Oreochromis niloticus: one gene and its partners. The protein of the gene in region 1 interacts with the protein of each later gene in a pairwise test. Links are inferred from orthologs where the notes say so. Each region holds a gene or a part of one and is shown in the gene's direction. Other genes may lie near its edges. The genes, in order: creb5b, spred1, efemp2a and fosl2.

Region 1 (6,986 bases):
GAGATGAGGTAATAGATATGTTTGGGATTCTTTGGGCTTAGGATGTACTGAATAGACTGTTCAACCTCACTGTGGAAACACATGCAGGCAAAGTCACGTTTAACAGCTGCTCGTAAGTGACCAAACCCTTCTGTTCTCAGGGAACTGCCCAGCAAGTTTGAGCCAACCAATAAGATAATTTCCTCACTCCTACACACTACAGTAAAGAAAGGGCACCTCAGTCCTTCTGGCTTCATTTTTGCATGGAGTGGAAACTTATTTCAAACAGCTGAAAGTGAAAGCACCTCCCTAGGGACTTTATTTCTAACTCAAATCATCAGTGTGTTTATTTAAGTGATTTGTAATAGGACAGCGGGTCCTGCAGGCCAATATAAATCATATAGGAATGACTAACACAATGGAAATACCACTCACAAAATATTATCCATGCAGTGTTGTAATGTAATCTAAAGGTGTTATGATAGTGTTATTGTTAGCCTCGCCATATAACATTTAAAAAATGTTATTGTTAAAAATGTTATTAATAATCCCCTTTAAGTAACACAGAAGCCAAGTTCATTAATCATTAGACCGATAAACCTTCTCACAAGTGCTGTGCAAAAAGATCATCCTACACCATTACAAATCTCCATAGGTTTCACTCAGGCACCACCATTTATCGTCCACCTAATGTAAATATTATAGGGTCAAGTGTTTGAGCGAGAAAAAGCCACTGAGGTTATCTACTGAGGACCCTCCAGAGTATATGTTTTGCTGGCCGAGACTCCCAGGGCCATTAGAAAGCTCAGCAGAGATAGTTTGCATACCAGGACAGAAATTACTGAGTCTTGACAGTTTCAAACCACCAGCTAGCTGACTATTCATTTCAGTATTTCAATATTTAATCTGAATGCTGAAATTTATAAGATGTATGAGTAACTCAGATGTTGCAGTGGACAAAAGTAAATTTACTGGTTAAACAATTGCCTGTAGAGTAAAGGGTTTTCTATCCTTATTTTGGAGTTTAATTTCAAAACATCCCCACAACCCAGTATTGAATTTTTATTACTGCATTGTTGTTTTGCAATGCAGTGAACTATAATTACTGAACATTCTCATTTTTCAAATCACACAAATATATGCACTTTTTTTCCTTTACAACCCACAGACCTTGACATTGACAGAGTGTCAACACTGTGATATTCAGTATGTCCTGAGGTTTCCCTCACCACACAGTAGTTCCTGATCTTTAACCACTGAACAGCAAACACTTGGAACGACATTCCCACCAGTTCAGAAGAAAAATCTTTCAATATTTATAGTCAGCTAGGCTGGTATATTCTCCTGGCTTTGTAAAGATATGATTATGTTTTCAAATCAGACAGATAAGTAACTCTACATTATTTATTTATTTTTGACATTCAGACTATATAACAATTTATTCTGTTAAATAATTAAAAAAAAATTGAACATTTTCTGAAGAAAGTTTGAATCTGTCAATATAACTACTGCTGTTGGAGTTATCAGGCAGCCCTGCATTAGCCAAAAGCCCAGACTATCTTCTTTCGGATGTGAGTAAGGTTTACTTGGCTGCTTAGGTCTTATCTTACATCTTTCCCTCTGCTACAACAGTCATGGCTTGCTTGGTCTCAAATATGTGATAAGAGCTAGATGGTGAAGCCTCTGATTGAAACGTAGGGATTTTAAAACAAACACGCAACTACGGATGATCTCATCTACAAACTAAAGTGCAGAATTCCCCAAAGTGTCTGCTTTGATATATTGTTGGTTAAAATCAGAGTTTTAGAAGTTGTTTTTAAACCAAAATGTAAGATGAAGATGCACCAGTAGTGCGTGAAAACAAGAAAAACACCAGTTGACAAAGACCCACAATCATTTATTAGTTTTACATTTCTTTTTTCTATTTTTGCTTTTTCTACCCCAAATTTTGGAGAAGTATTTGCTTATATGAGCGATAACAGATAACTAAATATCTTATATTTCTGTTGTTGCACAGTTACTAAGAGCTTTATACTAATATCTCTTTGGGTGTAGTCATCTCTGTTTAAGGTATGAAGAGCAGCATTAATGTGGACATCTATTTCCTATAGCTGACTGCTTTGCAAAGTGGAATATTCATTAAAGTGCTTTATATTTTGTTAAAATTGAAAACCTATGAGACGCTTTCGTTATTAGCCTCCTTCACCTTTTGCACCTGCTACAACAAAGCATCATCACTGGTCCTTATCTTCCCAAGGTGATCTTAGCTAGAAGCATTGCACAAAGGCATAATAATAAAAGGTTTAGTATAATATAGATCAAGTCCACTTTAGTGTGGGTCACTGACCCAAACTGTATCGGCTCTTTCCAGCCTTAATAGTCTGCTCCTCTGGGAGCATAATGTTTGGATTGGTTGGGAAATATATTGGCAATAAAGAGACAAAAGGATGTCATAAATGTTGATTAAAGCTCTGGTTAAAAGACAGAGGCAGAGAGGCTCTGAGTTATGAGGGCTTTTCAGACTGCGTTATTGTTTCAGTGACAGAGCTCTTAGTGTGTCTAGTGGAGTGGCGAGTGGTAAACATTTCTCAATGTGTGAGGAGTCATTAATCCCTGGAACCGAGGATGGCTTCACTACCAGTGTCTGTGGCCCAAGAAATCACAGCCAGTTGGCACCAGCAGGTCGTGCAGAGCTCCAACATAAATGCTTTGTACTTCAGAGCTGTTTAAATCTCTTCTATGTGCTGTAGCTAAGGCACACTCTAGAAAAGGCAACAGGCAACGCTCTGTGTTTTGCACATTCAGTTCATTTGCCAGTCAAGCTGTTGATGATACATTGAGTCCTGCCAGGTTATAGCCTCACTGTGAAACATAAGCAAAATATGAAACCAGTTTAACGAAAACAAGTTTCTAAGGCCCTGACAGTAACATCACGGAGTAATACAGTATGCAGATTGTCACCGAGGCTGAATCGTAATTCTGGCAAAAAGGAACTTTCCTGTTTCTGGAATCATTAGACTTGGTCATGTATGTTTATTATAATTTATTTTGAAGAGATTCCAAGTTTCATAATTACTTTAGTTTTCTACATAGAGTTTTCCCAAATTCTACTTGAATTTTTGAATTAGCAAATTCGAGCACTGCTAGTCTGAGAACATTTGTATTCTTGCATGAAAAACACTTCACTCATCATGTTACACAAGCATACACAAGGTACATTGTAAAGGTCAGTTTCTGCTTGGTTCCTTTTTAAGGGGGACATTTACTGTGTTTCCTTATTTTCTCTCATGTACATAAATATATAATATTACAATTATCAAAGCTCCTGTGAGAGGAAACAGCCCTAATAAAGTCATCCCAGTCATCTAGCCTGATGTTCAAACCTTCTGTTTGCAAGGGGGAGTCAATCAATATAAAGCTGGTGTAAAAGAAGTGTGGCTTTTGGTAGAGGAGCTAAAACAGCTTGGTTCAGCAGTGGATTTGCTGAGAGGCTGTGGCTAATGTTCAAAGCTACTGAGTCCAAGAATAAAGATATGGAGCCTAGAATCAGCAAATATTAGAATTATTTTTATTTACTTGTAAGGCAGAAGCTTCTTATTATAAAGTTTCGATTTTGTTGGATAAAGTTTGCAGGGTCTTGATTATATTTCACGCGTGGTACTGTTTAGTGGGTTTTCCCGTTTATCGCTCTCGCTGTTGTCAGATAGAAGCTGCAGCACCGCACGTTTATTTGCGCTCATTGCTCTGTACTGGCGCTCCAGCTTTGGACCACACCCACCAAGGGCCAGCGGCGTTCATACATGCCCCGGGGCGTGCATTTGCAAACTCCGCCCCGCTGGCTCCACCTACCAGCGGACCACAATGATTTAGAAGTTCAGGAATCCCACGTGACGTCACCCAGGGTGACGTTATGCTTCTCTAAATAGATCGTATTGTAATCTTTTCTCAGTCCAACGTGGTTTCTTCTGAGAGACTGCTTCACATTTTCTGCACTTGTTTGGTAAGTTGAAAGCCTTGCCACCATGCAGAGGACCGTGCACGCGCCTCTGCAGGTTTGTTATCTTTTTATTTTTATTTTTTTAAAAAGCGATTCTTCTCACTTGTTCTTCTCCCTTTTTCATGCAACAGCTTGTTTTCTCGTTCGCTTCAGCAGTCTTTCTAAAGATGTGATTTTGGTTCATTTTTTTTCACCTCCTCGTCCAAAACTCCTTCGTCTCCGCAGGTTTGTGTCGTCCAAGTTTTGTTTGAGTGAGTGCATTGTCATGTCACTTCGCGCTCCGTGTGTTTGGCCTGTCTCGCGGAGTCAAGTGCCGCTGCAGCTCGGTCTGTCAGGTAGCAGCGGAGGCAAGTCTGCAGAAAATTATCTGAAATGACGGAAAAACGCGAACATTTTTAATGCAACAGACGCTTTTCGTTGCACTTCACACCAATTTGGCACGTCTTCTAAGTTTTCATTTAGCTCTAAATCTCCGAAGCTGGACCTCTGCATCATTGTCATGCCTGTCCCATCCAGGGATACGCAGAGCAGGCTAATCTCCGGGACTCGTGCGTGCTGCGGTTCACCAATGACTGTCTGGAAGATAATGGGCCGGTGGTTATGCTGTTACCCCAGTTTACAAAAAAAAAAAAGGGGGGGCACTAATACCCCTGTTTACGTTAAATTTATGTCCCCCTTTTTCTCTTGAACAGCAATGTTCATCAAGATTACGTCATTCTGCAGGCCAGTCGATATTTGATTAAGCGCTAAGATGTTGAGGGTTACTTTGAGTAAGGTTGTGCTGACGGTGCGCGCTTTGTGACGGAACGGCTTTTTAAAAAAAGAGAAAGATGCTTTAATTATTTGATTGCTCTCCGGCCGCTGTCATTATGTTTATGTGACAGCACTATCAATAACACATGTTTCTCGTACACGATTCCACTTATTGTGCCCGAGTTTTTATTCGGTGTGGTAATAACGCCGGTTAAAGTGTTATTTATGTCTGTTGCGACGTTTTTTCAGCATTTAATATAGACTGGGATGGAGTTTCTTTGTATGAAAGCTTTTACAATAATTTTTCTCTTTAAAAAATATGTATCAGATTGAGAAAAGTTAACTTGCTGGACAAAAAAAGCATTTTTAAAGCAAAAATACATAATCCAAAAATAGTTCATAATAATTATTAGGATTTACATAAACTTAGACCAAGTAGCATAAGCTATAGTTAATGCATTTAAACTCACTTGTTTATTCTATAATAGTGTTATTTACTAACCTTCATGGATATATGTTTTTTACATGTTAAGTTGGATTGCAGCAGTAAACTGTGAGCTGCATTTCGTGATGATTGTTTTATGTGCTTGAGGTACCCCTGGTAATGTCTGTACTAATATAGAAGGTGTGAAAAGGTAGGAAGCATAAAGGCAGTCTCAGGTCTGATCAACAAGTACACCACAGACGTTAGAGCATTTTATTTTAATACTAGAGCTTTCTTTTCGCCTTTACCTGCAAAGTTCTGCAAAGTGAACGCTAAGAATAATACAGTTAGAATAATGTGAGCAGTGCTAATCCCATGCTAGACCTCAGAGCATTCATTTTTTGATTTATGAGTTTATGTTGAGTCAGAGACCAGTAATTGAAAGCTTTTGAAGTTTATATTTCAGTCAGACCAGTCTTCTAGTCATGCATTGAGTTTAAGAGCAGAAGTTCAGTGCAGACATTGTCAGAGAGGTCCCCCGTACGTTGCCTCAGGGATCGCCGTAATCCTTCCTTCAACTTGTACTCTCAAAAGCCCAGGCTATGGCACTGGAGCTGCAGATTTGAATTGCTGTGCATGTTTGTGCTTGCTTTAACCCCATATGCCTTTGCACCCCAACCCTTCTTTTCCTCACCATATTGTTTAAATTCTAATATGCGGTCTACCTGCAGAGTTCTTCCCAAGTTCCTCTTGAAATCGAATGCCGGACCCTAATCCTTCCCCTCACTTACATCAGGATACAGTTAATGTAAAGTGTAACCAAATTTCCTCTGCTAAACGAAAACATCTATATTAAATGAGAGCCAAGTGCCCTGTCCAAGGAAAGGGCGTTGAATGCTGATAATTTGAAGTGTGAAAGCTATTGGATAATTCACAGAGGCATTCGCAGAATTAATGGCTGGAAGTTTTATGCATCATATGGTTTGAATTTCCTAGTAAATGTGAGGGAATGATCGAGTCCCGTTTTAGAAACAGGAACAGGAAGGTAAACGTTTCTGTTTTTTACAGTTATGGAAACAATTTTTCTCTTATTTTTTTTTTAATGGCTTGCTTTAAAGTTTTTATGTTTCAAGAACTGTTTCAAATTCATACTGGCAATCAAGAGGAGAGCTAGTAAACAACAGTTCCAACAAGAGTTGTGCAAACAGCTGATTCATGCTGTTTCATGAACATTTCCGATAAAAAAGAAATGGGCCTTTATTTAATACACGAATGAGTAGCGCCATTTCTACAGGCACTGTTTTTGTCATCTCGAGCTTAGTTTTATTTAATGATCAGCAGTGTTGGTTGTGTTTGTTGTGTCAAAAGAGACCAGGTGAGTTTTTAGGGGCCCTGTTTTAAAGAACTGAACTGGTGATAGAAAGACAGACCAGGTCTCATTGCTCCCTGACAGAGAGACCCTTTCCAGACCCTGTTCAAGCGGGCTTGCTCATGAAGTACAACTTGTTAGGAAAACAGGACTGCTTAGCATAACACAATATTTGACTGTTTTGACTGCGCTTAAGGAAATAGCCTGTACCTATGAAAGAGACACACATGCACATAGCGTATGAAAGTATTCATGGCTGACACTTGACATGCCGTACTGACTTATTACAGGCTTATTACAGAATTACAGATGCGCTGCGGTTCTTGTGAACTGGTAGCAGGCAGAGGTGATAATAATGCAAGCGATAAAAGGAAATGTTTTATGTGCCATTAAATGAAAATGATGTGGTCCAGTATCAGTGTTGTAAATACTGCAGATGTTTTACTTGTACTGAGAGGACACAT
Region 2 (7,992 bases), on another chromosome or scaffold:
TGGAGATGATCATTTCTGGAAACTACACAATAACAAATGTGGCTAAATGAGGTTAAAGGTTTAGTGTTGTCAATTAGTTACAATTAAAGTTACAGTTACAATACATATATACATACATATATTTATATATATACATCAGTATAACAAACAAAGGGATGAATAATAGATTACTCATTCACCAAACCATCAGCCAACATGGGTCATTCGTTGCCCTGAGTTTACTGCAGACTGAATGGCTACACAGTTATAGTTCTCCATTTCCAGAAGCTGCTGTGCTTCTAAGATGATCAGAGCAAAATGTTTGGGGATACACATCTGATTCTCTGCCTTGGCCAGGCCAGAAACTATAGATCAGTGGTTTCCAACTCCAGGCCTCCAGGCCTCAAGGCCCGATGTCCTGCAGGTTTTAAATATCACCCTGGATCAACACACCTGAATCAAATGATTAGTTCATTACCGGGCCTCTGGAGAACTTCAAGACATGTTGAGGAGGTCATTTAGCCATTTAAATCAGCTGTGTTCGATCAAGGACACACCTTAAACCTGCAGGACACCGGCCCTTAGGCCTGGAGTTGGAAATGCCTGCTATAGATGAATCTCCCATGCCCAGTGGTGCAGTGCTTAGTATTGCTGGAGCCCTTTTTTGTAGTGTTTTCAGGATTAGGTTAAGTGGCCATTCCAAAATTAGCTATATAGGTGCAAATGTGAGCATGAATGTCTATGTGTCTATCTACTTTTGCCCTGTGAAGGATTAACAACTTGTCCAGGAAATGTCCAATCACTCGCCCAGTGTCAGATGGGCTCACTGTGAACCGGATGGATGGTACAGAATCACAGGTTCCCATGTGATCCTAGGTGCAGTTGATCACATTTTGCTGTCCAAATGCTTTCTGATGCTGTATTTTAAATAAAGGCATTCAAGGAGAGAAAATCTCTTTCATTTCATGAGCAAGTTTGTTTATCTACTGAAGTTTAGATTCGGATTTTTTGTGCAAACACGAAAATAATAAATACACAATGGAAACAAGTTTGTCTGGTAATTTTATAATTTTTGCTTACATCGAATTATCACATTCTTTTCACATTACAAGATACATCAGACGCTTCAAGTAAATAAAGATTCATGCTGCAGAGTCACTGAAAAATAAAGGAACATGACTTAACGCCAGTCACATCAGACTGCGGTATTTTAAATCATTTCACTCATCAGCTTAGATCTGATGAATGAGGATTGTATCGGGCTAAAAATATCATCCATTCGGTGGTTCCTTGTTGGCAATGCAGGAATGTTATATCTCCCTTGAAGAATATTGTGATGAGTTTGATTGCATTTAGTGAATAAAGTCAAGGAGGGATGCTTCTATCAGCTAAACTTCCTGTTGGCTGGTTTAAATATGCTACGTTGTGTGGTATGTTCAGTGTGAAAAACACAGGAAATGGACTAGGGTCATCCACATTTGTGAGATGAGAAAGAAGGCTGACTTCCTGAACTCTAAATACTCTAAAGGATAAAGGCATGCTAGTAGGAAAAATAAATCATGTTCATTGTTCTTTTCTGCTCTTTTTGAATCAAGGGACACTTCGTTTGGACCTGATCATGGTAACTTAATCAGAAATAAGTGAAGAGGCCATGTTAAATAAAACAAAGATGCAGTATCCTAACCTGATTACCCCGTTTATAATACAGACTGCTTGTATAAACATTCATGTCAGCTTGAAATCATTATTTTTTTGAGAAAACAATCCCAAGAGAGCTTTTGCTCTCAGGCAGTCTGTTTTGGATTCATGGTCATTTTTATACATAAAATCCTTCATTTTCAGAGGCTCACTGGACAATTGACTGACAAGCAGTTTCGTGACAAAGAGAAGCCTATTCCACAAATTAGGCAGATAAAAGAGTTGATTCCGAATTTTGAACTAGAATTTCATAGCTTTTCACATGACATTTTATATGAGGTTCAAAGACATGCCCATGCAAGTGAATGAGGCCAACACAAGGCGTAAAAACGACAAAATAAACCAACTGGAGAGATAGCAAAAACGTTGGGAGTAATCAGATTGATAATTGGAACAATATGTAAAAGAATACATTGGCCAATAGACCTGGAAGATCACAGAATTCATTTCTAGGTTAAGAGAAACCTCTTCAAAACATCTACAAAAGTTAAGCAACCTCAAGAATGTGCCACATAGTCTAAAATCAAAAGGAGTCTTCATGGATGTAAGTAGGTTTATAACAAGGTGCAAACCACTTGTTGGTTACACTCAAGAACAGCACAGCCAAATTAGACTTTGATAGAAAACGTTTAAACAAGACTGCCCAGCTCTGATGCAACCAAAATTAACTTCTGCCAGAATGATGGTGAAAAAATGAAATAGCTCATGAAGTTTGTCACGTCATCTATCAAACATGGCGGAGGCAATGTTATACCATGGACATGTATGGCTGCTCACTGAATCTGATTAGTAGTGTTTATTGACGATATGACTGCTGAAAGAAGTAGAAGGAAGAACTCTGAAGTGTATAGGGGTATACTCTGATCAGGCGGTATTTCATGGTATAAATAGATAATGACCCAAAACATGCTGCAAAAGCAGTCTTTCCAGGCAAAGAAATGGGATATTCCTTAGTGGCCAAGTCAGTCACCTGATCTCAGCCCAATAGGGCATAATTTTAGTTACTGAAGACAAAACTGAAGGTGGCTGCATTAAAAGCCTGGCAGAACATCTCAAGGGAAGAAACACAGGATTTGATGTCCGTGGGTTCTACAGTCTAATTCTACAGGATTTCAATTCAAGTATTAAAAACAATCCTTGTATCCCAGGTTCTCTTTACTTCTTCCCACAGTTCAATGAGATACATGGATTAGATTAACGGGTAAATCTAAATTAGACATAGTTAACTATTCATGTGAACATGAATACTTAACTGTCTCTCTGGTGTTAGCCTTGTCAAATATTACACGCTCCCAAATTGGATAAGCAGAAGAAAGTAGATGAATGGATGGATATTTAAATTTTTGTCAGCTAGTCCAATGACTTTTAGGCCTTTTAAACCAATCAGCTAAGTGAAGAGAAACGATAGTCCGGAAAATTGCAAAAACTTTAAATTTGTCCCCCAAGTGCAGTCGCAAAAACCATTGCTATGACAAAACTGGCTCACATGAGGACCGCCCCAGGAAAGGAAGCCCGAGTGTCACCACTGCTGCTGAGGATAAATTCATTCGAGTCACCAGCCTCAGAAATTGCCAATTAACAGTACCTCTGATTAGAGCCCAGATAAATGCCACACGGAGTTCCAGTAGCAGACACATCTTTACATCAACTGTTCAGAGGAACAGTTAAACCCATTCTCCCACTGGGTTTAAATCTGGGACTCTCGGCCATTTGACCTTAGAACTGAAGAAGCTTCTTGGATGAGAGGTGAAACGTCTTCAAGCAACTTAAAGAAGTCCAGACGCTTTTCTTTGCAAACTCCTTTGACTACGATGACCTGGATGACTGAGAACCTTCACAGACATGTTCAGAGGAGACTGCGCAAATCAGGCCTTAATGGTCAAATAGCTGCTAAAAAACCACTACTAAGGAAAAGCAACGAGCAGAAGAGATTTGTTTGGGCCAAGAAACACAAGGAATGGACATTAGACCAGTGGAAATCTGTGCTTTGGGCTGATAAGTCCAAATTTGAGATCTTTGGTTCTACCTGCCGTGCCTTTGTGTGACGCAGAAAAGGTGAACGGATGATCTCTACATGCATGGTTCCCACCGTGAAGCATGGAGGAGGAGGTGTGATCGGGATTTATTCAAAATGAAGGCATACTGAACCAGCACGGCTACCACAGCATCCTGCAGTGGGATGGACCGCAGAATGAACGCAAAAGGGCCAACAAATACTCAGCATCTCTGGGAACTCCTTCAAGACTGTTGGAAAACCATTTCAGGTGACGACCTCATGTAGCTCATCAAAAGAATGCCAAGATTGTCCAAAGCAGTAATCAAAGCAAAGGGTGGCTATTTTGACAAATCTAAAACAAAATTTGAGTTATTTCAATTTTTTTGGTTTACTACATAATTCCATATGCGTTCATTCATAGTCTGGATGTCTTCAGTGAGAATCTACAAAGTAAACAGTCATGAAAATAAAGAAAAACCATTAAATGAGAAGGTGCGTCCAAACTTTTGACTGGTAGTGTATGTACAGTGACACAGAGGGACGTTTCATATGGCCCTCAGCATAATACTGTAGCACAAGCTGTATGAAAGCCAGAGAAATACAAAGAAACTTCTCACACAACATGTTGTCACTATGACAACCAGGCAGAATCATTTAGCCTGATCTCTTGCCTTTTCCACACAGCACAGAAATCCAATAGCATTTAAGTCTTATGCAACCAGGCTGCCGATTTGCTCTGAAAGGCTTTTAACACATTTGCAACTAAGATTCATAGAAGCACACATGGATTTTTCTGGCAACTTCTTAGACTGTTTTATTCTGGAGGGAGCTTTAGCTGCCTGGTACAGTTTTAGAAGCACGACTTTGAGCCACATGCAGTTGTTTTAGTCCCCTACTCTCTAGTGATCACCCCTTTTTGTAGCTTATAGTGTAATCCTAATGCCTGTATTTTATTTACATTTACGGCCAATTACAGTTCTCAAAAATCCCACACCATGCCCTACTCAGATTTTTGTTTCTACATTCCAGAGAAAAAAAAAATCCTCATTTTCTGAATTGCCGCTTTACAGTCTTTCACTTTTCACTCTGCTATCACTGAATAATAAATAACCCTGGCCTACGCTCAGCGATAGAAATACCATCTTGATTTGAAACACATAAATCGTGAAGAGGGTCTGATATAATTCCACGTGCTGCAGCACTCTCGGTTGTGTACATTTGCAGCACTTCCCCACTATTTTGCATTAGGATTTTAAAAGCGGTTCGGAGGGGAGGTAGATCACGATAATACAACTGAAAAAAGAATATACCAGAAATTGTTAATGACCAAGTCTCCGTGTCAGCTCAGGTCCTTCCTCTAGATTATTTTCTAGCCTACTTTGCGTGCTATCACACAGACGCTTCCCTCTTGTTTCAATGCGTGATTGAAGGGAAACTTCTTTTGGGAAGTGGGGGGACTACTTTAGGTCAACTTTAGAAAGAAATCTTACTAACTTATTGCATACGCTTACGGGGGAACGCGGTTTAGTATAATATACGCTACTCTTTAAGCATACAGAGCAAAGTGTGTGCTGGGTTGGTATTTTTTCTATCACAAGTGTTATGTTTTTACTACGTCGCGGAAGGATCCTTTTTTCAAGCGAGGGTCGACATATCCGCCCATTTTTCCGATGTTTCATTCCCCCCCGAGTTGAAAATGGAGTTCGATTAAAGCAGATGTCCATCAAGTTCTCAAGGAAATTTCAAGTCTATGTGTTTTTACTTTAACTGTCGGTGCTAATACTGAAAACAGTCGGACCATTTTGGGGGGCATTGGATGCCTTTACTGAAAATTACTCGGACACGTTGACGGAGCAACGCTGCACAGCTCTTTTTCAAGTGTTGTCCTGGACCTGAAGTTGGCGAATGGATGCTCGACAGCCAGCCATAAATAACCTGCCAAACGATACAACCTACAACGGTTTCTACATTTTTTGAGGATCTATGCACATTTTTGCAAGCCGGGGATTTGTGTCAGTTGAAGAGGATGGTCCAGATGGCCCATTTGTTGTGGTCGGATTTTACTTCCAGGGAGGATAAAATGAATCAACGATTGTCATTCCTCCTCGCGATTTAACGTTAGAGCCCAGCCAGCAAAAGCTAACGTCCAGCTAGCTTCACTTGCTTTTCATAGGGACGCTGAGTTAGGCATGCCCCTTGTACGCCGTTTATTTACTATCCGAAATAGGGGTTATTTCTGTATGTGAAGGAAAATGGTGATATATGTGGTATTTTATCCCGCCGTCACTGCGTCGTCGATGCTATTGCTAGGATTTGGATCCCCGTGAGGAAAAAAATGAGTGAAGATTCAACAAATCCAAACAACGAGTGAGTCCTGTTTTACACACACTTTATTTTAATATTATTATTATTATTTTATCATTTACATCCAAACACACAGCTAATCTTCAATATGTGCTTATATATGTAGATATTAACACACCGAGCATCGAGCTACGTTAGTTCCCGGTGACATTTCTAACCGAGCAACGTTGCCATTTCATCGTCTTGTTTTACTAATATCAACAATAAGAAACACGTTGTACTTTCCCCCCCTGTTTGTTTGTTTATCAAGCTAATAGAAAGGATTGCCTTGTGAGATTAAACAGAACCGTGCCGGGGAAACGGTGGCATCGATCCGTAGTAAAATATTAATCTCGTTGCTACTTTTTTGTAGGCTTATGATACTGCTAACCAGTATATGCTGTGAGAATTCACATTAAAGCCACAACATTTGAGGTGTACTAATCTTTGCTTATTTTGCTTGCTTGGTGTATTATTATATGTTCGGGAAATGTATTAATTCACGAAGGATCGTTCGGAGCAGACGCATAGGTGACAGTAATCTAAATATAATTTTATGTGAGTGCTTGCTCGGTACATCACGATCAGAGTCCTCTGCATTGACAGCCCCGATCTGTGTCTAACTGCTGTCCGCCATGATTTCGGAACATAATCATCGATTAAAATATTGCGGATTGTGTTTGTCTTTAAGTCTAGCCTTTCTTTAATGAAGGCTCTTCGCGGTTAATGCGGCAATGTCGGCATTGAAAAGCCGAAGATGCCATTTTTTTTTCTCAATCATGCTCATTTACATATCACAATCCTCCATTCATAAAAACGCTTAAAAAACGGCATCGCATTCACGCCCAGAGCCTCACAACCTACGGACATCGATTATGATCTGTGCATGCTGTGTTTTTGTACACGTCGCGCCCATTTCAGCTCGCATTTTGGTATTGTTTTAATGGGCTGATCCCTTGTGTGCGCTTGTTGACAGTCAGTGAGAAATATCTGCTTCGGGAGGTGCTGCGGTCACATGATCCCCTCCATTCATAAAGTACCTGCCTGCCCATTCACAGCACTGTACACTGTTTCGCATTGCACCGACGGTCACACAGTGATCACATATTCTGCATTCGCGGTACAATACGTCGCATATAGGCGCCTGTGCTCGTTTTTCTAGTCGTTTATTTTACATGTTTTTTCTTAACCATGTCGACGTGATTTTTCTTTCACAATTCATTTGTCACAGAGGAAGTCATATGCCCTTTTCAGCCATTTACAGTGTCACTGTTTAATGTCTGAAACACACCCATGTTTTTTTTTGTTGTTGTTGTTGTTGTTGTTTTGTTTCCCCCATTCAATCTTTCTGGCCTTTGTGAGGCTGATTGATTTAATGCATGGAGGTTTTGTCCTTGAACTACACTGTTTTGTTTTTATGTAACATATGTCATGGATTTATTTATTTTTCCTCATGTCAAAGCACAGGAGCTCACATATGAATTCATCCCAGGCTATATTTGCTATAAACCTTGATTCAGCTTGAATTGTGTGAATTGGTGAAACCTCCTCATCTCCTAAATTTGATGCGACTCCCTTCAATAATCTCGGGAACTCATCCACACCCCAGATCCCCAATTTTTGAGAACTACTGCCACAGGCTAAAAAATAAAAATCCTCAGTTCCACACAGCATGATGGCAGCAGCTAAAATGGCGAAGTGATCCAAACATTGTTGCTAAGATTTCACCACCTTTCCTCTTGTATGATTCATAGTAATGGAGTGAACGGAATACTGAGCGCTGCCTGAGCCATTTATTTTTGCTGAAAAGCGTCTGTTTAATGAAATATTTTTCATGAGACATCTATTGACTAAATTAAAAAAAAAAAGATTTGGTGTGCCACATTTTTTAAGAGTCAAGGATAATCATTCCCCCCCCCCCCCCCCCCCCCAATAGTAGTCTTCACCATATTACATTGTGAAATTGAGCCACTTTC
Region 3 (7,950 bases), on another chromosome or scaffold:
TGGTGGGATTTCTGATTGTGGAGCAGATTCTTTCAGTATTAGTAAATCTCTTGCGTTGTGTGTGTAATTTCAGTTCGACAACTTCAAACGTGTTTTCAAAGTTGTGGAAGAGCTGAAGGGACCCCTGGTGGAGAACATACGTCAGCATTTTCTTCTGTCTGACAAACTTGCAAGGTAATCGGCAACGGGCACACAGCACAAGCCTTCTGCCTCAGGTTTATGTTTTACAGCTGTTGTATAATTTAAAATCTGTTATGTTGTAGTGTTGTGATGGATTAATATGTTATTTTGCAACAAATTCTAACGAAATACCACATAAAAAGGTTGGGTGCTCTGATTGCTTGGTTTTATTTTGGTTTTTTTAAATGCCGTGTGTTTATTTTCTTCATCACAGGGATTACGCTGCCATCGTTTTCTTTGCCAACAATCGGTTTGAGACGGGAAAAAGAAAGCTACAATACCTCAGTTTCCAGGATTTTGCTTTCTGTGCCGGCCAGCTTATCAGCAACTGGACAGTTGGGGCTGTTGGTGAGTGCTTAGTTTTGTTTCCTTTGGCCATTTTGCTGATATAAGATATGATAAGATATGTCTTAATTTGTCTTTGTGTTTTTTACAAATTGGTAAAACATTAGTGGTGAACAAAAAACTATAAAAGAGGAATTTTAAAAGTTCTCAAAAGAACGTTTACTTTTGAGAACAGAATGGATGCTGTCTATACTCACCAGGCCACATTGTTAGGTACAGCTGTTCAGTTGCTTGTTAAGGCAAATATCTAATTGGACAGTCACTTGGCGAGGTACATCATGTACATGGTACATGGATGTGATTAAGACATCCTGCTGAGGTTCAAACTGAGCATCAGAATGGGGAGGAGAAGGGACAAAAAGTGATTTTGAACGTGGCGCGAATGTTGGTTAGTCTGATTATATCACAAACTGCTGATCTACTGGGATTTTCCATGACAACCATCTCTATGGTTCATAAAGAGTTGTCCTAAAAAAAGAAAATATCCAGTGGGCAGTAGTCCTTGAGGTGAAAATACCTTCAGAGGTCAGAGGAGAATGGCCAGACTGCTTCAACAGTAACTCAAATAACCACTTCATTAGAACCAAAGTATCTCTGAACACACATAGTATCAAACCTTGAAGGAGATGGGCTACAGCAGCTGAAGACCACACTGGGTACCTCTCCCTTTAGCTAAGAAACTGAGGCTCCAATTCACACAGGCTCAACAAAATTGAACAATAGAATATTGGAAAAATGTTTCCTGGTCTGATGAGTCTCGTCTGCTGTTGTGATGTTCTGAGGTAAAGCCAGCATAGATCCCTCCTGCCTTGCATAAATGGTTCTGGCTAGTAGTGGTTGTGTGATGGTGTTGAAACATTTTCTTGGTACTTTTTGGGCCCCTTAGCGCCAGCTCAGCATTGTTTAAATACCACAGCATACCTGAGTACTATTGCTGACCATGTCCATCCCTTTATGAAGATATTGTACCCATCTTCTCACTAGCAACAAATCTACAGCAACTGTGTGATGCTGTCATGTCAAACCTGAGGAATGTTTTCAGCACTTTATTGACCCTATGAAGAATTAAGGCAGTTCTGAAGGTAAAAAGCTGGTCAAACCTGCTATTAGCAAGGTGTACCTTAACAAAGTGGCTGGTAACTATATGTTGATTGTGTTTAATAAATAAATTTTAGACCAGTGGCGCTGTCAGTGAGGTTTACTGACCACCAGAGGTCCTTCAGGCTTTACTTCATCAGTAAGAGGATGAATTTTAAATTCACAGGTTAACAATTAGGAGAGTGAAAAAGGGAATAATATTAGGTAGCATCTGAGTCATTATACTTAATAACCAAGCAGTTATAAGAACACAAATATTTACAATATAATTTCTAGAAGAAATTCCCATTAAACTAACTTGAACAGTGTCTGAATTTTCCTGTAGACAACATGGTGGAAGACATGGACGTCGATCTTGACAAAGAGTTTTTACAAGAACTGAAAGAGCTGAAGATTTTAATCACTGACAAAGATCTGCTCGATCAACACAAAAGGTAACAGGAACACGCTTCAAGACACTTCCACGTTTTGCTTACTCCTGAAAAACCTTCTAAAAATAATTTGATCTGTTTTCTTTTTCTTTCTTCTCTTGTTTCTGCTCAGTTTGGTCTGTACAGCCCTCAGAGGAAAGACGAAAGTTTTCCCTGAGATGGAGACTAGTTTCAAGGTGAGAGATGCTAAGTATCTTCATGAAATTCCGTGAGAATAACTGTGAAAAGGAAATAACAGTTTCGAATGTAATTTTGTTTCTGCAGAATCTTTCCAGAGGCCTCATCAACATAGCTGCAAAGCTGACCAACACAAAAGATGTCAGAGATTTCTTTATTGATCTCGTAGAGAAGGTGAGATTTTCTTAAAAATATAAATATATAAGTAAAGACTGCTCACCAAGCCCAAATACTTTAATGTCTCTCTCAGCATCAGTCTGCCTTTGAGGCTTTATGCTGTAACCTTCTCACCTCCTTTTATCCCACAGTTTATTGAGCCGTGCCGTTCAGACCGGTGGACAGCTGCGGACATGAAACTCTACCTCACTCATTACACCAACTCTGCACACATACTCGACACATTCAAGTGAGTTAATGTGCTTTTATTCTCCGAAGCTTATCAGTCAGAGCCCGGCACCGGCCCTGCCAGGGTTATCAATTCCCCCGCGGGGTATCCTTGTGCTAAAAATACAGCTGTGATTTTTCATAGAGAGCTTTTGGGGAAAACTTCAAAATAACCGAATAAGGATACACATGGTGGTGTTAAACACTGCTGAAGCGTGAAGCTGTATGTTAAAACCCTCCCAAAAATTGACGTCCTTGTTCTGCCAGTGGGTGTCTCCCTATCTTGCTCATGACTTCTTAAACTGTAGTTACCTTGTTTCTCGTGCAAACACTCAGGAATGTAGTTAAGGGTTTACACAGCCCTGAACCACTACAAGCTTAACAAAGACATATTCATAAAAAGAAACATAGACCCCCCACCCCCCCAGCCGTATACACAGAGGGGACAGAGATTGCCTCATTTACTCTCTTCACTCTGATTTCACAATTACAGTCTGACATGAAATTTAGAGCACCTCTTTTCACTCCGTTTACTTACCGTTTGCTCTCCTTTTCTTTCTCTTCTCTGCCCTCAGACATCAGGTCGTGTGGGACAGATACATGGGCGTCGTCAAAAGCTGCATCTTCAAAATGTATCACGACTGAAGCGTTCTCTTAGCGGTTCACTTCTCCTTTCAGTTTGCTAAGGCGTTACTTTGCTCCTTCGGATGTGCTTTCTCTGCTTCTTCTGTCATCGCTGTATGTTTGTCTGCCTGCCTTGCTCCTAGCGTCCCCCAACATTGTCTGTAAATTTGGTTTGTAAATAAAATGAAGATTTTACATTAAAAATGCCCTTCTGTTTCATTTCTATGCAATGTTTCATGTTTATTCTGGAAGGAAGAGATGTTGTGATTAACCCCCGAATCAGGATCTTTTGCCGGGGGTTGGGGGTTGGGTGAACCATACTTCAGAAGTGAAAACAGCGGATTTGATATTGTAGTTGATATTGACTCCAATTGAATTAGCTTTTTTTTCACTAATTCTCTTAAAGAGGACCAGCGGATCACATGCACGACAGGCTGTGACTCCAGTCAGTGTGTGGGGTGTCTCTGTGTGTGGTTATGGGAATAAGGGACCAACTGGGTGAGGGGTGGGGGCACAGTTAGTCCAGCTGGGAGTGTGATTTTTAACAACATCCCCTGTAGTGACAGCTGCCATCTCTGCCACCCGACAAAAACAAAAGGCAGACAAATAAGCTGAGGCCGAGTGAAGGGTTTTAAACCAAACACTGGAGGGTAGCTGGAGAAACCGCCTCCCGTCTAAAAATAAAATGCAGGGAGCTATTCTGCAAGTGATGAGATATTTTTAAGGAAAATTAAGACTAGCGCTGCCGCTGCTGTTGATCCCATTTTGAGGATAGTCTGAATTTGTGCCCATTAGATTTGAATGAGCCTGAAACTAATGAGTATTAATGTGAGTTAAGCAACATCTTAACCCGTTTGCATCATCACAGACTACAAATTTTGCAAGACAACATGCTGCTGGAAATGATTCCAAGCGCAGTAACGCATTAGTCACGCACAAACACGAGAAGAGCAAGAGTTGCTGCGTGGGTCAAGACTTATGATACTTCTTTATTTTCTGTCCTTTGTCCCAGAAAGCACCGCTGGTTCATTCTGTAAAATAAAAATTTTCCAAACACGTACACACACACACACACACAGTCTGTCGCTCTCTTCCACTCTCTAATTTTTGTCCGCATTCCATTAACTTCTCTCTCTCTGGCTATAAATATCCCTGCATGTCAGATTGGACGAGAGCGAAGGCTTTAGTGGCTTTATGGAAAAGAAAAAAGGGGAGTGAGAGATGGGGGAGGTAAGTATAGATAGATGGGGGGTAAATGGGAAAAGGGAGGGAAGAATGGGTGGGAGAGCTTGGGGATTTTGCAGGGGTTTGGTTTAAATGAAACCAGGTGTGTTGTGGGACCAGTGAGAGGGTGAAAAGATGTGGGGGCATGTGTGTGTGTGAATCTGTGAGTTGTGCCTGCGATTTGGACGGATTTGGAATTTCGGTATTTGGGCCGCAGACCAGGAATTTGCATCCTGGGGGGTCAGGGAGAGGGGGTTTGGGGAGTGGAGGATGGCAGTGCAGGGGGCCAGAGGGGGGTAAGGGGGCTGTTCCTCTCTCCTCCCTTTCTCTCTCTCTCTCTCTTGCCTCTGCCTGTCTTGCTCACTCGCTCTCTCTCTCTCCCTCCCTTTCCATGTGCTCAGCTGCTCCAGCTGTCGGTCTCCCCACTCACTCTCTCTCTCAGGGTCATACAGGCAGGAGTTTAAGGGACCACTTCTGTACGCCAACTCGGCTGGGACGACCGCAGCCAGCAGGAGGACACACTGGTCAGACGGAGACTGAGAGACAGAAGATTCCTCTGTGAGTTTTCCTGTGTTTCTTTAGCCTCTTACACATATCTAAGAATGTCTGTTTGTTAAAGAGAGACTTGCTGGATGACTTACTATGTTTTGCTAGCATTTTAGGGAGAAGTAAGGGAGGTGAGATGTACCTCTTACCCACTTTTTCTAGTACAGGCCATACACGTCACACTTGCACCACTGCCCTGCTCTCTGCTCTGCTCTCCCAGCTGCACTTGGCTCCTTATGAGAGCCAAGATAACGTGGCTAACTCTGTCTGAGTAGTTTACTTCTTGGCTCTGACTGTAATATGGGGTTAGACAGGAAGAGAGGCAGTGAGTCACAGGGCACATATTATCGTACTGTAATATTGCAAAATCCTTCCGCCTCATCCCTCTTGTACAACGTTTAACGTCAGTGTCACAAGCTCAGTTTAGTCTCTAGGTGGGGGAAGCTCAAAATCTGAAACACAAACAGGTGCCAACATGTAGAAGAGTTCTCTAAACCTGGATGACCTCACAGTGCACAACTGCTGTTTCACTTTTTGTGCAATCAATTTCCTGCAGGTAAAAGCAGATGTTTCCACTTTAAGGTGGGGATTAGAAAAAAGCAAGCATGTCAAAGTTTTCTGAACTCTAACACAAAAGCATCACACGTTAGAGTTCAGGAGGAACATGTTTTACCTTGTGAGTGAGTTTCTCCTACAGGGCGTTATTTCTGTCTTTACCTGTGGAGCTTCCCGGAACAGAAGTCAGGCCGAGTGTGAGATGGAGACTCCCTGGTTGTGGATTTGCAGGTTCACTGCCACAACTGTAACAGAGCGCAGCTGGTGGAGCGCGCTGGGTCACCGTGTTCTCAGGCTGCTCCACGCACAGCCGAGCACAGCGACGCAAACTTTGTGTATACACTACAACAAGTGACCATCCTGGAGTCTAAACTGTGTGTGTGTGTGTGTGTGTGGTCCAGCTGTTGGTCTTTTTTTGGTTTCCATGTGGTCACTGATATAAGCCGCCTGACATTTTGCTTGTTAAGCTGTTCTGAATGTGTGAATTTAAAAATGGGTCAACCAGCAGTCCTGAAGCTGAGCCAAGCTCCAAATGAAACTAAGATTGCGCCTTCATAAAGTATCGATGATTTACTTTTTTGTATTTTTTATTTTTGTGGGGTAGTAAATGGTACACTTGTATAAAAGAGAAGCCCACCACAAGTTCCCAGAGTCCAAGATGACGTCTTCAGATGTCTCATTTTGCCTCACTAATAATCATATCCTGCTGAATATTTGGGTTACTTTCGTATTGACAGAAAAAAGCAGGGGAAACTGCATATTTGTGTAGTTGCTTTCACATTTTTGCTGGAAAGCGAGTCATGAAAATGCCTCCTGATTCATTTTCTATGGATTGACTCATCAGTTATTCAAATGGTGTATTTTCCCTGTCAGTGGTGGTCGAACGCAGACAATGAAGTTCTGTATCAGAGCCGCATTCTCTGACATCCTCCTACACATCCTCCAAAGGGATGGGAGGTTAGGGAAGAGGTGGCCGGAGGTCTGGCACCAGCTGTCCTCTTATGTGAACTGTGGGGGGTTTCCCAGAACCTGATACTCTGGGAACCACTGCAGTGGCAGGGCATCCCAGCTGAGAACTGGTGCCCACATCCTTGCCACGGGCATTCCAGAGGTCCGCCGCCACTTGATCTCCAGCAGCAGGAGGGAAACACCCATGCATCCTTGCTGCCCACACTGAGTAGCCAGTGAGTGACTGGACCCCAGGCTGATGGTCAGTTTGTTTTTGGGTGGTTTCGGGTCAAATTCTTGCTGGTTGTAAGTCACTGTTGGGCCAATTCAGAGAGATCACGCACTGCGGCCGTCTGATTGCGCGGTGGTATGCGCTACCGTCTGAGCTTACAGTGTGAGAGCATATTTTGCTGCTTTTCACCACTCAAAGGTCACGGTGATGTCATTCCTCGAGTATTTCAGGGTGTCCAAGTCACCCTGCGGCCTTCTGTTTGTCTCAGCCTGAAATAAAACAATAAGCAATGCCTGCAAATGTGGCCTCGGGAGTTTATATCAGAGCGTGAGTGTATGCACGTAGACAGGCAGTGATTATAACCTTCCTCCCTGTATTTTAACTGGAGCTCACTCACTTTGCAAACAACACTTGCTTAGGATTTTTTTATTACTTCAATTTGTCTGTTTAATTTTCCTGTCTTTTCGGTCTGGCGGAGATGGAACGGGCAACTTGTTTATGTTTAGGCTCAGCTTAAACACTTATAGCTTCTTTCAGGAACATTAACTGAAGGATGGTTGTGTCATTGCTGCCAGAGAGGCCCAATCCATCAATACCGAACCATGCAATATATATTTACCTTAAAAATACACTACATGGTACAGAACACTGTATTAAAGTAAAAATAGCAATATAGCAGTGTCAAAAAATATTCTACTATAGGAAAAGCCTGCAAGAGGTGCTAAAGTAACCGTCAACGTTAAGCTATAAAATGAAAAAAAGGAGAAAGTGTAAGGAAGGTAAAATAAAAGCAAAATGGGAAAACTGTCACCTGAAAGTGTATTTTTAAATGGGACTTTAAGCTGATCACTGACTCCTTTGCCTTTTGTCCCTGACTGTAAATATTGCCTCCTTTATTTAGTTTTTAACAGGGCCTCTGGGATGGGTAAAAGACCCCTTCTTTCCTGTGCACTCGGTACTAAGACTTCAAAGATGTCTTAAATAGTGGCCACAAAGACCCTTGTATTTTCATAATATATTGTAAACTTGATTAGTAGCGTTTTGAATAATTTTTTCTACAATAATCCAGGCAGATAAAATAGTGTTAATAACGGACTGTTTTATGTTCTGTATATTGTGTATTTGTCCTGAACAACAAAAAAGCCAGTTGAATTACTTGCTGCTAGCTTAATCTACAAGTATGTAACCAAGTCTAATGATAGATTT
Region 4 (7,839 bases), on another chromosome or scaffold:
TGATATCAGAACTGACAAAACCACATCCTCAGATTGTGAGTAAAGCTCCAATCTTGTGTAAAATAAGTAGCTCTTTTTGAGATTCTCTGTGCAGTGTTTTGAGCCATGTCTGTCCAATGCAGTCCATCAAAGTCAGTCTCAGGTGTTCCTGAATGATTGTCATAAGTATTTAATTAATTGTTTTGCTAAATGGGATCTGGCATTAAGGCTGAAACTACACCAAAGCAGGCCAGTTGTCTGAGTGGATTAGAATTCAGTCCATATGGATGTGGCTAGGGTGAAGATGTTGTCGAGCAGCTGCTGAGCTTTTTGCATACCTGAATGATGTGAGTGGCCTTATTGGAGAGTATGTGGCCAATGAATTCATCTTCTTCTCTCTGCAATCCCACACTCCGGAGGTCAAGAACGTTCAAATTATCCCTCTGCGCTGCTGTGTTTGACTGCTTTACATGAGTCACCACAGCAACCAGTAAATGAAATCACTGAAGGATGCTTGCTTCAATTCACAGGAGCTGTCTGCCCGTCTGGCATCCAGCCTCCTCTTTTTAAAGCCATGTTCCTGCACACTGGGCTTCCTGATGAAACCGCTGATTAGATTTCCATTGAAAACCTCCAACTTGCACAAAACACTGTGACAAAGGGAGCACATGTTTGCCACAGCATTGTCAGTGCATGCGCAAGGAGGGTATCGGCTCCCTGCTAGATTTTGCTCGGCTAACTCTAAAAATGCAATGAACTCGGTGTTGCTGTTGTTGCGTAATCAAACAGCATGTGAAGTGTGTTAACAGGCCACTAGCACAGTCCCACTGTCGGTCACTCTGATTGTTCTTTAACTCACTCTCTGTGCTCACAGTCAGCACTTTGTTACCTACGTGTGTCCTACTGGCTGCACCTGAGCTGTGAGATTAGCCACACTGATCATGTTGAGCTATTATCCAGGTTAAGGTATTACAACATGACAACATGACAGGCGACTGACGGCAAAGGAAAAGGAAAACAAAGTGATGCAAGGGCAAAAAAAAAAAAAAAGTGAAGGAAATATGTAGTGAATTCTGAACAGTCTCCTCCTCTCTAGAACACTCAGCTGTTTTCCAGAGAATTATGTAGCAATGAAGTGACTCAGTGTGACTGTAAATGCACTTTTCAGGAGGTTTGTATGTCATTTAACCTTCAAGTCACCCAGTTGTATATTTTTACACGTCCTGTTATGAATTTATGAAGTGGAGAAATGTTTCTTACCATAAATTGGTCATTTTACAAACAGAAGGACGTGTGTGTGTGTGTGTGTGTGTGTGTGTGTGTGTGTGTGTGTATATATATATATGTATCTATATATATATATATATATATATATATATATATATATATATATATATATATCCATCTATCTATCTATCTCATATATATAGTATATATATATATAATTAATGTATAAATATATACACATACATTAATGCAGTCTATCTTTCAAGCTCAGGTCCTCCAGCAGAGAGAGGCCTGGGAGCTTGAGGGTCCTGCGCAGTATCTTTGCTGTTCCTAGGACTGTGCTGTTCCTAGTGAGTGTCAGTACCACAATCCAGGATGTGACAACAAACATCCACGAGTACATCAGAAAGATGGCCGCGTGCTCAGTGACTACCTCGGGCAGCGGAAACCCAAGAAAGGGAGCAAGAGAAGGAACCATCATGGAAGGACAAGCCCCTGCATGAGACCCTCGTTCTTGGGATATATACTATATTTCTGTGACTAAAATATATTCATGTATGATGTATTACTATACATAAAGCCTATAGACCAAGCTTTCAGCAGTATTCAAGCCATTAAAATAATCTCTATCTGTACCATAAAAATATACACAATAATGATATACACATTATGATACTGTATGAATACTATTCCTATTTAAAAAAACTCAACAATAAATCAAATAAATAAAAAACAGTATATAAACTGTGGTGCAGCCACTTATCATGCAATACATCTCTATGAGGGGGACTGCAAATGAGCCAGAAAATTATACCAAATGAAATGTTTTTTACACCCTCAGTATTTATTTATAATCAGATGTTCTAACTTCTGGTTCTATGTGACCCCCCAAAAATGTTTCTTCTTCTTGGATATCTTGGAAATGTCCCTGGGTGTGGGAAATTGGAAAATCAAAGCATTCAGTACTTGTCATGGTTGAAGAACAACAAGAAACTGACTCCAGGGTGTATCTTATTTTAGGGTAATAAATTGTTTGTGGCACTGACAGCAGGAACACTCAAACAGCAGTACAATGAAAATCACACAGCAAACTTGCTGCAAAGATTTCTATACAGAACAGAACTGCAAAAATTTTTACAACGTAAAAACACCACTTTATTTTAGAGCTGAAAGTACAGCATTGTAATTTAACAACGATTATTTTACAGCACACTTAACGAAAAAAAAAGTACTCTGCTGGATCATTTGACAGCAATGATCGAAATTAATAGGACGTCTTGTCATGGATTTGTTATTATTACTACGATCATGCTTGCGAAACACTTCCAGTAATCTTGGGGATTCTGATGTTATGATGACCTGCAATATAATCCATAACATGCCCTATATCTAAGATCTTGTTGTGCAAAATAATGTGGTTGGGGAAAAAGGAGTCAAAAGTAGCTTTAAAGTACTCATAATGTGCTACACAACAGAAAAAGTGAAAATCAAAAAACAACCCAACATCAAAGGGCTGTGATCCTACAAACGGAAAACGCTGTGTGACTGATGTCTATGATGCATGATTAGATGATCATTTCCTACTATAGGCCATGTTAGGTGTTTTCATGAAATGGGTTTTGTTGTTAAGTTGTAATAACTAAATAGGTTAGCTCTTATTAATATATTCTGTTTGTACCCCCCCAACCTGGATTGACTGCCCTTTGTTTACAATCTCCTCATTCGGATTTATGCGGCGGTACCTGAAGGCAGCATTAGGCATCAACTCTCCTGCGTCACGAGCACCTGAAGCGCGTCGGCCGCGGCCAGGTAAGCCTCTTGCGCACGGACGTTCAGTGGACCTCTTGCGTGGACGTCAGGCTGAATGAGATGTTCTGTATAACACAGATTCCTTCTGATGTGTGATGGATAGATAAGCTGACCTCATTGCGCACATTGACCAAACACCCTCTTGTGTCACCTGACCCCTGACCTTGGGCTCCTTGAAGCTGCAGTTTTTCAGAAATCCGAGAATTTGCGATTAAACTCCAAGAAACTGAAGACAAACTGGAGCAGCAGCGTCTGGCTGACTGACTGTTGCGTGTCCCAGGATCCTCAAAGATCAAACTTGGAACCATATAGAAGTTGTCACAGTGCCACATCGTGCTTCTCCCAAATTGACGCCCATGGGTGCGTCTGAAATGATATTACGGCATTAATTATGGGATGGCAGATTAGATTACCCCCCCCCCTTTAGCTATTTAGCAGAAAACGCGTCGCTTAGCAACACCGCTGCGTTCAAAAGATTAACCATTAATTAATATCATTCAGATACAGAATTACTCAACATCTTCGGGAAACTGAAACGCACGACAGGCAGGGCGTCATAGATCAGTGCGCAGGTCAAAAGGTAATGGGGCGAAAATGAATGACACCCAGTAACTCTGGAAAGGGTGACATATCGGAGAGCTGCAGTACCTACAAGTGTAACTGACGTCTTCACGTTATGAGCAAGCGAACAAAGTGAGGCAACGAGCGGCTGGCTGGTCACCCCAGAAACCCCCCGCAGATTATTTTCCCCTCAGCGCAACTTCCCCCGGTTCAAACTTTCTGACGGGAGCGAGGCTTTCTGGCAAAGACGCGCGCGGCACCAGCAGTTATGGTGATGCAGATTAAAATAGGAACCGTGGCAGATGGGATTAGACTTAATGCGCCATTTTATATCGTGTAACGTGTCACATTCTGGGCGCTGCGCCCTTGTTTATGAGGTGCGTCCGAATTACAATTAGCCCACATTTCACCGAGATTCCTTTGAAGCCGCCGTGCTGCACTAACCGGCGGGCCACATTAATCTGACCGTCCGTGTTGTGTGCCACCTCTCTCCAAATTAGGCACAATGCGGCGGCGCCAAAGCGCACAAAGGTTTAATTGTGCAGAAACGCCGCGTGTCCAATCGCCGAGTGTGTTTATGAGCAGCAAATGAAAACTGGTGGACATGAAATAGTTACACCCACCATGACACCCCCTCCTCTCTGTCTTTATTTGATTTATCGAATTTTCAGGCTGTGCACAGCTACAGATATGGATTTCATTTTGAAGCTGAAAAACTTTCAATAAATGATTTTACTGCGCAGCACTCGCTCCCGGTGTGTGCGGGTGCACGCGTGTCCGTGCAAGTCGCTTTAGCTTTAAGTTTCTAAGCTTTAATGTGTCGGTTTTCCATCACTGCTGGGTGGCCGAACCTGGACCGGCGAGCTCTGAGCTCCGAGTCCGGACCACAGCGCGCGAGGGGAGGGAATCCCTCCAGTGTCTGACGCTTCCTTTACCAAGGAAACCCACACGCGCTCGCTGACGCAACTGCCCATTTTAGGAAACATGCGTCAATGGACCCAAGCAAGTCAGACAAATAGTGAACTCCGCGGCAGCACTGACGTCCGTAACAAAAAATAAACCCCTCCACACATGTTCTGGACCACTTTTACCAAATCCCAGCTTTTCGGTTTTCTCCCTGCTGTCCGCAGGGCGCAGGATGGTGATAACGGATCTTTTCTTTTTCACTGCCTTTTGGAGAGACAACCCCTCCCTGCTGAAGTCGCAACGCCCATGCGTGACGTAGGCTCTTTCGTTGGTGTTGAAAAGCCGTTGCAGTTCTTCATAGTGCCATTGAAGTGAGTCATCTCTAGGAAGTGTGGTAAAAAGGAAAAGAAAAAAAAAGTTCGAAGTGTTCCGTGAGCAGCAGAGAGAGCTCAGAGGAGTGTAGCTGGCAAGGCGACGGAAAATATTGAGAAGAGTAGAGAGGCAATAGGCTTTAAAGCGAATGTTAACCTGTGTGAGTCACTCTAACTACATGTTTGATTGTCGCTGCTGGATCTGACTGCTGAAGGTGTGCTGCTGACTTTAAGCTGAAGTTTGCGCACCTGAGAGGATCTTTAGCAGCGTAGTGTAGGTTTACCTGCGGCTCCAGGAAAAAAAAACAAAACAAGAAATAGACTCTACAAGCAGGAATAATACACAAGAAAAAAAACGATTTGTATTATAAGTAAAATGTTTTAGGTTAGTTTACAGGAGCAAAATTGCACTTTTGTTTTTTTCTCCTTCTTTGGAAATTAACGACTTCTCGAATCAGAGGATTTTTTTTTTCCTGTTGGTGCCTTTTTTGCATCGGGGATTTAAAAAAAAAAAGGCTCTCAGAGCTCAAACAGTGCACTGAAATCTTCCTCTTTCCTGGATCATGTACCAGGACTACTCCGGGAACTACGACACCTCGTCCCGCGGCAGCAGCACCTCTCCGGCCCAGCCAGAGTCCTTCACAAGCGGCAGCAGCACGATCGGAAGTCCGATCTCTACCTCAAGCTACCAGGTAACAGAAGGAAAGGACTGGCTGCAGATTAATCTATTAATGAATGCATTCTGGATAACATGAAAGTGTCAGTTCGTTCTTGTGCAAAGTCCAATTTTTAGAAAATTATTCCATCGTGTTGCTACTTCCAGCCATTAACTGAATTTAAACAGGAATTTTCCGGGTCGCCTGGAGACACAAATCCGAATGAACCCAGTGACACGGTTCGTATCAGTGACTCAACAGGGGCAGTAGTCAATCTGTGCATAGGCGCAGTCTGATAATATTACAATAATTTTGCTTTTGAAATATTTAGACACTGATTATTTTATCTAATGTTAAATTTCTCCATTAGTGCGCACCGCAGCTGGCGACAATGCGCAAGTTTGCGTAAATTTATGGTACAATTGTCTTATCCCAACAATTTAAAAAAAAAAAAAAAAAAAAAAAAAAAAAGACATACAGGGTGGTTTGTGCACTGTTGCAGGGAAATTTGGCACACTGGAATGAATCCGAGTCTGTGATTTACAGATGTTAAATTCCCCTTTCTTTCTGCCAAATTCACTGTGCGTTTGTAAAACAGGAACATTTCTGGGGTTTTTGCCAATTTTCTCACAGAGACGAATGCGTGTAAAGCAAATGCACACCTGAGCTTTTTACACTTTTCATGCTGCGGTAATGATAAACTAGCTAGAGATGAAGCTCATGGTGGATGCAACAGGCATTTCGTGTTGGGCTGTGAGATGTCTGATTTCAATATTCCATATGTGTTGCTGCAGAATTTGACCCAAGTTCCGTTTAAGTGTCCACATGTTTTTATTCCACATGGAATCAGAGTCTAATTCGACCAGGCGGGTCTCGGGCTGCACATGCCACATTTTCTCCAGCTGGAAGCGCGCTCTGACTGGGAGCGCAGGGCAATCAAAAGCCCGTTCTTCCTCGCTGTGTTCACGGTAGTAATTGTAGAGATACATCTAAAACACCAAAATCTCATAAGGTTACGCTTTTACATAGTCTGAGTGAGACTTTAGACACAGTTGAGGTGTGCCAGTGTAATGCCGTGAAGACGCGGTATCTCAAAAATACGAGGATATAAATCCGGGAACAGGCATGTTGTTTACCCCCACACCCTCTGCCGTGCAATTCTGTGGAAAAGCCTCCTCAGGCTCACGCAACATTACGGTAAAAGACTTTTGGACAGTGTGTATCATTGCTCTGGTTCCCTGTAATCACACGCTGGCTGCCTGTTTCCCATTACAGGGTTGGAACATGAACTCTTCGCTAGTTTATGGAGACATATGAAAACGACCCCCCTCCCCCCGCGTGTTTTTGCAAGACCAGTATCATTTTAATCAGACTTGTTTGGCTCTAATGTCATGATTCCACTGAATGTCCTTTGTAGGCAGTTATTCATTTCCTGGTTTATATGTATTGTAAATTCCAGTGCTCTTATTCTGAAGCCAATCTGGCCCAAAAATTCCACTCGCATAATTCTGGATAATATGTCTGGCTTGTTACAGCTGGCTGCTTCCCCCCTTACTGGAACTGACCGCGTTTCACATGTGCTCGACAAATGCAATACACAATGACTCACCAGATAAACAAAGTTGCAAGAGACTGCCGGGATATCCGACGGAAAGTCGGGAATAACGGGGATGTGGGGACGTGCGTAATTTACGCACACAGGCTGGCATTCCTCCTTTTTGATACCAGAAACAATGATCTAACATCACTTCTCATGTTGATGTGTTTGTACAAGACCTTGTTGCACAAATGTATATAGGCACGATATGTAAAATGTTTGTCTGTATGAGAGTCTGAACAAAAATCTACCATTCTGGAACACATTATATCTTGAGATGTTCTCACATCTCTTTTTTTTTTTTTCCACTATTCCCCCCCCCCCAATTGTATGTTTGTTTGTTTTTTTTTAAACAATCTTCTGTGAAATAAATTTAATAAAGTTTATTCCATTAAAAATATAATTTTACATTTCCCATCTGCCCCGTCAAATCAGAAGTGAACTTAAGAAGACGTGAAATGGCTCTCTAGTGCACTGTTATGTCTCATTGTAGTAAAAATGAGATGCAGTGGACACCTTGGGCTTTCCCACATGAATCACTGCATGTGTCACTGTTTCACTCCAGGGGTTACATACAGTGTTTCGCCTATGTGGACTGAATCACTACTATAAGCTTGAAATGTGGAAAAATGTGTGAATCTGATGACGGTGGGTGGTGGTGTGTGCATCTCTGTGATGGTACTCTAAGCACAGCAGAGATGCTTCTGGAATAGACCAGAAGCAGCACATTAGG

The links.
Region 2: the proteins of creb5b (region 1) and spred1 interact in binary tests that used the Homo sapiens proteins (3 or more experiments, as listed by UniProt). The link is inferred for Oreochromis niloticus from reciprocal best matches to the Homo sapiens genes CREB5 and SPRED1.
Region 3: the proteins of creb5b (region 1) and efemp2a interact in binary tests that used the Homo sapiens proteins (3 or more experiments, as listed by UniProt). The two-hybrid records come from large-scale screens. The link is inferred for Oreochromis niloticus from reciprocal best matches to the Homo sapiens genes CREB5 and EFEMP2.
Region 4: the proteins of creb5b (region 1) and fosl2 interact in binary tests that used the Homo sapiens proteins (3 or more experiments, as listed by UniProt). The two-hybrid records come from large-scale screens. The link is inferred for Oreochromis niloticus from reciprocal best matches to the Homo sapiens genes CREB5 and FOSL2.

Annotation. Positions count from the first base shown.
Region 1 is NC_031976.2:18,511,203-18,518,188, reverse strand, and holds the start of creb5b (cyclic AMP-responsive element-binding protein 5), read left to right. Parts: upstream 1-3,915; 5' UTR 3,916-4,001; coding exon 4,002-4,031; intron 4,032-4,105; exon of another isoform or gene 4,106-4,201; intron 4,202-6,986. UniProt on the Homo sapiens protein: Binds to the cAMP response element and activates transcription.
Region 2 is NC_031983.2:16,022,477-16,030,468, reverse strand, and holds the start of spred1 (sprouty-related, EVH1 domain-containing protein 1), read left to right. Parts: upstream 1-4,982; 5' UTR 4,983-6,008; coding exon 6,009-6,040; intron 6,041-7,992. UniProt on the Homo sapiens protein: Tyrosine kinase substrate that inhibits growth-factor-mediated activation of MAP kinase. Negatively regulates hematopoiesis of bone marrow.
Region 3 is NC_031966.2:20,257,526-20,265,475, reverse strand, and holds the start of efemp2a (EGF-containing fibulin-like extracellular matrix protein 2a), read left to right. Parts: upstream 1-4,820; 5' UTR 4,821-5,021; intron 5,022-7,950. UniProt on the Homo sapiens protein: Plays a crucial role in elastic fiber formation in tissue, and in the formation of ultrastructural connections between elastic laminae and smooth muscle cells in the aorta, therefore participates in terminal differentiation and maturation of smooth muscle cell (SMC) and in the mechanical properties and wall integrity maintenance of the aorta.
Region 4 is NC_031983.2:23,201,809-23,209,647, reverse strand, and holds the start of fosl2 (fos-related antigen 2), read left to right. Parts: upstream 1-4,737; 5' UTR 4,738-5,416; coding exon 5,417-5,545; intron 5,546-7,839.